Linked DNA regions of Oryctolagus cuniculus. Each later gene encodes a partner of the first gene's protein in a complex. Links are inferred from orthologs where the notes say so. Each region holds a gene or a part of one and is shown on either strand. Other genes may lie near its edges.

Evidence for each region.
Region 2: the proteins of ITGAV (region 1) and ITGB6 are in contact, whole or in part, in a crystal structure (PDB 9CZA), measured with the Homo sapiens proteins. The link is inferred for Oryctolagus cuniculus from reciprocal best matches to the Homo sapiens genes ITGAV and ITGB6. Residues at the interface, in NP_002201.2 of Homo sapiens: Tyr48, Phe51, Lys72, Trp123, Leu141, His143, Gln150, Glu151, Arg152, Pro154, Asp178, Ala179, Phe184, Gln186, Phe189, Pro204, Tyr208, Trp209, Asp249, Tyr251, Tyr254, Pro274, Arg275, Arg278, Thr279, Met302, Ala303, Tyr305, Phe308, Pro328; in NP_000879.2 of Homo sapiens: Ser183, Pro184, Phe185, Lys187, Thr188, Thr189, Pro190, Ile236, Asp237, Thr238, Pro239, Asp273, Ser274, His275, Phe276, Gly277, Met278, Asp279, Lys281, Leu282, Ala283, Gly284, Val286, Pro288, Glu308, Thr311, Ile312, Gly313, Gln314, Ile316.

What each region holds. Positions count from the first base shown.
Region 1 is NC_091434.1:53,695,301-53,699,119, reverse strand, and holds part of ITGAV (integrin alpha-V), read left to right. Parts: intron 1-1; coding exon 2-204; intron 205-1,882; coding exon 1,883-2,074; intron 2,075-2,488; coding exon 2,489-2,534; intron 2,535-3,819.
Region 2 is NC_091434.1:81,824,432-81,828,250, reverse strand, and holds part of ITGB6 (integrin beta-6), read right to left. Parts: intron 2,492-3,819; coding exon 2,360-2,491; intron 2,152-2,359; coding exon 1,734-2,151; intron 1-1,733. UniProt on the Homo sapiens protein: Integrin alpha-V:beta-6 (ITGAV:ITGB6) is a receptor for fibronectin and cytotactin. It recognizes the sequence R-G-D in its ligands. Internalization of integrin alpha-V/beta-6 via clathrin-mediated endocytosis promotes carcinoma cell invasion.

The DNA.
Region 1 (3,819 bases):
GTTATGCAGACGTGTTTATTGGAGCACCTCTCTTCATGGATCGAGGCTCCGATGGCAAACTCCAAGAGGTGGGACAGGTCTCCGTGTGTCTGCAGAGAGCCTCCGGAGACTTCCAGGTTACGAAGCTGAATGGGTTTGAGATCTTTGCACGGTTTGGCAGTGCCATAGCTCCACTGGGAGATTTGGACCAGGACGGCTTCAATGGTAAGATAGAAGTTAAGCAAAAGAAGTTAAGTCCTTGATTTCTGAGCCCATCTGGGAAAGTCCATAACCCCATCTGTTGAAATTCGCATGAGCAAATCTCTTCTGGAAGATGGATTGAATGTCAGTGAGCAGTACACCAAGTTTATAGATAGGTTGCATTTTTTTTACCTTAAAAATCAGAGCAAAATTTTCAAAAATTGATTCTCAAGAGAGATTCAGAACGGATGATTTCTGAAAGGCAGTTTTTTCATTCTCACAGAGCCCAGTGCTGGTGACTTTCTGTGTCTCTGTGTCCTGCTGAGCAACAGTGCCCTCTACTGTTCATTTGGCTACAAATATAAAAAAATGCTCCCAAGGCACATTGCAAGGCAATGCTGACTAATGTATATCTTATGCGTACCTCAAAGGTATGCTTTAGCAATACTATTTTGAAAGTCATAACTTTGTTGTGACTGTCCAAAATGTTCTAAGTGAGTTTCTGTTTCCCTTCATGGGGACACACAAACATATAAGCCCACTATTTGATGATCGTCTTATTTCAATAGCTGTAGACATCTTTAAAAAGCAAAGTTAGCTTTCAGTATAGAACTTTGGAAATGTGAAATACAAATTACAAAGTACCAAAATACTTTCTAAAAGATAATACTAAAACCTTTCTATAGATCATGTAGTAGAGAGATGCACTGTTGGTTTGTTTGTGTAATCAACAATATATCAGGATTCTTACTAAAAGAAAAGCTACACATTAAGTAAACTTCAAAGATACAGAACCACAGAATAAGTAATCAAGTAATGTGGAAACCCAGATAATGATAAAGACTGCAGGTTTTTTAAGGCAAGGTAACATGATGGAGAGCAGCTATATAGAGTGTATGACAGAGTGGAGGGGGAGAGGGGCAGGGACCAGGGGACACTGGCAGGATGATGTCTGATGTAGGATTTGAGCATGAGGAAACAACAATGAAAAAGGCCAGTGGTGTTGGGAAGAGTGCATAGTTTGAAGAGAATGAGTCATAGAGGCAAGCCTTGAAGTGAGAGGTCACTTAGAAGGTCACTTCACAGTTATAGACACAGGGTGGCCACAGCAGCAGAGAAAAGTGGACCTATTTATAGTATATTTTAGAGTCAAAAAAGGTCCTATTGACCATTGGTGTTTTGTTTATTTTAAGAATTTATAATTTTATTTGTTTGAGTTGAACAAGATGAAAATGAAGTCCTTTCAAATTTGTGATCCAAATGGATTTCTGTTCAGAAAAAATTAAAGTGATGCATGAATCAACAAAATAGAATTTTGCTACCTAGAATGAACTTTAGATGAATCTTTTGACATGTTCTCCTCCTACCTTCCACACCCCCAAGTTTAAGTATGGGGCACTTAAGGTTCAGAAGTAAATGATGTATATAAGGTCAGACCCAGAATATATGGCTCTAAGTTATTGTCATTTCTACAGTTTTGCTTGAACTTCCTTGAATTATATTGTTGCTTTTTGAATTACTGAACTTTGAACCAATACTGATCAAGAGAAAAGGTTCTGTGAATATTCCGATCCCCATATAAATGACTGAGTACTGAGACTTCAGTGTCACCACTCTTGCCTTCTTCCCCCCTCCTCCTCCCTTCTCATCCTCTCCTTTCCATGCTGCTTCTTCTCTTCCTCCTCTTCCTTTCACCCCATAGATATTGCAATTGCTGCTCCCTATGGGGGTGAAGATAAGAAAGGAGTTGTGTATATCTTCAATGGAAGGGCAGCAGGCTTGAATGCAGTACCGTCTCAAGTCCTTGAAGGCCAGTGGGCTGCTCGGAGTATGCCACCAAGCTTTGGCTATTCAATGAAAGGAGCCACAGATATAGACAAAAATGGATATCCAGGTGATTTTCTACAAATACTTACAGCTCTGAGAGTTTTCATTCCTAAAGTAAATAATGTTATTATTCTCCTGATTTGTTTTATAAGCCATTTCAATTCAATATTTCAAGTATTATGAAACCTCAACCATGCTCAAAGCATTGTTCAAATCACTGAAGGTGATGTGAAGGAAAGGCAGCTCTGTTTCCTGCGAGTGTACAACGTGAAGCACATGTGCGGAGCTTTTGTTCACTGTCTTGAAGTCTGTAATGAGACGTTAGAAGAAAATGTTGTAGAAGATGTTGTTTTTGTTGTTGCTGCCTTACAATCTCTTGACTGAGAATCTGCTTAAATTCTTTTGTGTGCATTGAAAGTTTTATAGCATGGTGTAGAAATTTAAAAACCATTATTAACATGTGTTTTCACTCTCTCTTCAGACTTAATCGTAGGAGCTTTTGGTGTAGATCGAGCTGTTTTATACAGGTGAGTATATCCGGTATTGTGTATTATAGGATTACTCTGAATTATTTGAAAGTTTTTAAGCTAAATGTCACTATTTGAATTTCAGCTCAATTTCTTGAATAATGAAATGTGTTCTTTCTGTCCAGCAATTGCTGCAAGTAAATAATATTTACACAGAAAAGTCTCAAGAAAAAACTATAGATGTTTTATTTTTTAGTTTTAGTTTTTTAAAGTTTTATTTTTTATTTGAAAGGCAGAGGTAGAGAGAGAGAGAGAGATTGAGGTTTTCCATCCCCAAATTCCCTCCACAGATGTCTGGATCTGGGCTGAACCCAAGCAAGGAGCCAGGAACTTCTTTTGGGTTTCCCATGTGGATGCAAGTATCCAAGCAGCTGGGACATTTTCCGCTGCTTTCCCAGGCACATTAGCAGGGAGCTGGACTGGAAGTGGAGGAGTCCAACTGGCGCCTATATGGGATGCCGGTGTTGCAGGCAGCAGCTTTACCTGCTATGCCATAGCTGGCCCCAGATGTTTTCTTTTGAAAGGAATTCACAATTTTTCATCCTTGTCCTTTAAATTGTATTCAAAACTATTCCCCTATTGAAATCAGACATGACCCCCTAAAATTTATACAAAAATGTGGCCCCTTAAAATTCCCCAGTAGTGCTATCTGGGGTGCCACATATGCTACCAGAATTTGGGGTGCCATACTATTTCACCATGTGTTTATTAATAAACCCCCAATATTAATAAGCCCTAGAGGGTTCTTGCCTAATATTTGCAGAAGAATTCTAAATACCGGCACAGATAAATGAGGCAGCATGGTATGTTTTAGGCTTTTATTTAGTGAGAAAGGTGCATAGGAAAGTGAGGGCTTTAGTAAGAGAGAGAGGTAAATCTGGGTTCATACCAAGCACCAGGAACCAGCCACGTAGAGGAGCATCTGGGCCAGGAAGCCTGGAGCACGTGGCCCAAAGGCCACGCACCCTGGAGGCGCAGGGCTACAGTGAGCCCCCTCCTGGCAAGAGGCAAAGGAAGAAGAGAAGGGATGGACACACCCGCGCATCCCAGCTTTTAACCCACTTCCAAAGGGGAGTGGTTAATTAACCTGATTGGCTGGTGGGCACCCAGGTGTGGCCAGGTAGGGGGAAGAGGTCTCACAGGGGCATGGTGAAGGTGTGGTCTTCCAGCTCACAAACCTAATCAATTTTAGTCTGTATGCCTGCCTACTTCATTTAGACTTTTTAACTTTTTGACATTTGTATCAGTAGCATTTTACATTATCATAACAAAATTTGGTAATGCT
Region 2 (3,819 bases), about 28 Mb from region 1:
GCCAGAGCTGGCTTCTGCTCTCCTGATTGGGTCTTGTTTCCATCAGGTGGGAAGAGAACTGATATGGGTTTGGAAATACACTCCATAAATCAGCAAGTAAACCTCTGAGTGAGAGGGAAGAGGAGTGGTCTCAAGTGGGCCAGATCCTAAATGTTTCAGTCAGTAAGGGAGGAAAAGGCAGATTTTGCTCAGAAGAGCCTACACTTTCGCACAGCCACAGCGGTAGTGAGGAAGTGAAATGGCATCAACTGGCGCTCAGAAGGCGTGCAGTTCTTTGACGCTTCGTTCTCTCATGTCTTTCTTTTCTGAAAATTAGACTCTTTTCTATATTCTTGATGCTGGCTTGAAAACACGACCCGCTGAGTTTTTCTATAAAGATAATGGCTTTCTGGTTTTGAAGATCTGTTTGCTTTCGGACTGAAAAACAGAGATACTACAGCTTAGATTTGGCAGTTATTATTGCCATTGTAGCACAAATTTCTATCATTTAAAAGTATATTGGGGCCTGTGCTGTGGCCTAGCGGGCACAGCCGCCACCTGCAGTGCTGGCATCCCATATAGGCACCAGTTTGAGTCTTGGCTGCTCCCCTTCTGATCCAGCTCTCTGCTATGGCCTGGGAAAGCAGTAGAGGATGGCCCAAGTCCTTGGGCCCCTGCAACCATGTGGGAAACCAGGAAGAAGCTCCTGGCTCTTGGCTTCGGATTGGTGCAGCTCCGGCCATTGCGGCCATATGGGGAGAGGACCAGCAGATAGAAGACCTCTCTCTCTCTCTCTCTCTTTCTCTTTCTCTCTCTGCCTCTGCCTCTCTGTAATTCTGCCTTTCAAATAAATAAATTTTAAAAAGTATATTCACATACACATAATAATTGCCTGAAAGGTTATACTTAAATATATATTTCTACATACCAGAATGATTATACATCATGTTATATGTAATATGAGAGTGCCTCAGAAAGTTAATGGAAAATGTGTATTATGAAAAAACTAAAAATTTGTTGCCCCTTAAATTCTTTTAATTTAGCATTTCTATGAACTTTTTGAGCTTTGCTTGTGTATTCTTAAACTACAGTGACTTTACCTGTACAGAGACTATTAAAACATAAATATTCCTATTTTTAAGTTTTTCAAATTTCTCCAGAAATTCCAGGTAGCTTTTCATTTCATGCTTTCCATTGGCTGCTTTCCACTTGTCCTCACCCATCTTTCTTACACCCCTAGCCTGGTGTCTGTCACTTGGCAGGTGCTTAGTAAATATCTCTGCAGTGAATGAAGGCCTTCAAAGTCCACTGCGTAATTCTGTGCTCCTTGACCTTGGCAGCATTACCTGTTTAGTGATCTAGCTTTTTATTTTTCCAAAGTAATAGGCATTTAAGAATTGGGGCATTCAGCGGCTTGATCCAGAGAGGTCTAGAAGGTAATGGAGTTAAGATTACAGGCATTTCTTCAAGGTTTGGGGGGATGGCTAGGGAGAAGACACTGCCATCTTTTACTTACTTTTAGGGAAATTATAATAGAAATATAAATTCAGTTGATTGAGATTTTACCCCAGGTAAATGTTAGAGTTAGGAAAACAACAACAACAAAGCAAGATTCAGTAACCTCAGCCTAAACATGAAGTCACTCAATTGATAAACAAATGTTTCCTGAGCACCTGCTATGCCCAGGAAACTGCAGACAGAGCGAAGGACGCCAAGCCCCTGCCTGATATAGAGTGAGACGTGGTATAGCCTACCTCCACAGAGCAGTCCTTTGTGTCTCACGCAGGAGAAATTGTCACACTGACAGAACGGCCCGTAAATGTTTCCATAGGGAGACAAGTGGCAGACGCACTGCCCGCAGTAGCAGTCACCCCTGCCGCTGCACGAGGGCTGCCCGGGGGCCTCTCTGCAGGAGTCCGTGCTCAGCATGTCCTCGCCACACTCGCAGCGAGGACCCATGTGGCCTGGGTGGCAGGCACACACTCCACACTGGAAGGAGCCGTTGCCATCGTGGCATTTGGAGCTGTTTACTTCCACTTCTTGCTGACAGTCACAGCTGCACTGGGGACTGATGAGGATTTCCAGGGTGTCTCCCAGGCCCACGGGCTTTATGACAATGTGCTGGCTTCTCTTCTCGCAGTTGGCTACGCTCACGGTCACGTTGAAGGAAGCCTGTGAGAGAACATAGGAACGATCTGCTTCCTCCAGCCACCAGCAGACAAGAGGTGAAACCAGGCTGCAAGCTTTGCATCCATCAGCTTTGTAAAAGAGATGCTCCTTAGATCTTTTAAAGCCTTGAAAGAATACAAAGCTTCAGTGAGCTCTGCCAAGTTCTCACCCCCTGGCCTATTTATTTCAGGTCTTTGGGCTCTCTACTTACTGTGTCTCCGACCTTCATGTGCGAGCATTTCTTTTGGTGTGGGAAGAGGGTGCTGTTACAGATGGCTGTGAATGACAAGTTGAGTCCTTCCGTGTCTCCTAATACTTCCAGTTCCACTTCTGACCGAAGTTCCTTTAGTTAAGGCACAGAGAGTTAGATGAAGTCACAACCATAACATACAGCCAGAAGAAGGAACTGTGAATCATCTTCATTAAACTAAAAATGAATAAAATTAAATAGGGTCTGAAATAAATTCATCATGTCATTACTCAAGCAAGAAAGTGAGCAATCAATATATTTCATATTTTATCAAATCGAAGATGCCATCAATTATAAGATTTGCTATTATTTTATGACAATTAAATTATGACAGATACCTGGAGACAGTTCTGCACAATATATGAAATATACCCATCAGTCTAAAACAATTTAGCTTTGAAAATTATTTTATCCATTTTGAGGGATTTGGCAAATTCTCCTCCCCTGAGTTGCACGGCTTGGCATATAAAAGGCAGTTTTTTTTTTTTTTTTTTTTTTGCTTATATCTCAGTGATAAATAAAACATCTTACTTTACTTGTAAGTATTACCATTTCTTGGGTCCCATAACACAGCTGGCTGTTGCTTTGGAAGGACTGCAGAATGGCAGTAATTCCTTCAACAGTGAATATCTCCTCACTGGTATCAAATTAACACCCTGCTGCTCTGTGTCGGGACATTTCTGCATACATCACTTTTCATTTGAATATAGAATTGTGGCAGACACTTTTTGAATCCATTAAACTTAACACGTGTTCAACAAATGGAAGTGACGACAATCACATTGTCAAAGAAAGCTCCATCATGCCTGCCACCTGGCAGACGGTGCTTGTGAGGCACTGCTAACTCCAAGCTGGATCCTAGTTCTACAGATGTCGAAATGTGGGTGGAAGCTGTTGGAATGTATTTAGTACCTTTTGTTCATTTAGTTTAGAGTCAGTTCTGGGGAAATAATAAGACCGGATTTCTTCCCTCAGGAAAAAAAAAAAAAAAAAAGCTGATCATCTTACTTTTTACTCTCCTTTGTTCACTTACAAAATAAAAGTATATTTTAGGGGGACACAACCAAATTAATATAAAAAATAAGTTAGAATAATATTAAGTTATATTTCAATTCATTCAAAAAGTTTTGAAAATGCTGTTGGCATGGTTAAACCACATTCAGCTTTAACTTTTCCTTAAGTATGATCTAGCCCACCCCATAGCAAAAGGACCCTGACGTCCTCCAAATTCTATTCACACTAAAATCATCAGGAATTATGACAGGTGTGTTGGAGACCATGGAGCAGTGGGTTCAAAGCTTAAAGAGACAAATGCAGTATGACCAGGAAGTCTGTAGATGACAGCAATAATGAGACCAGTGAGTGACATAATGTTACATGGAGGAAGCCTTGGCACTGATAGAGTCAAATTGCCAATTTGA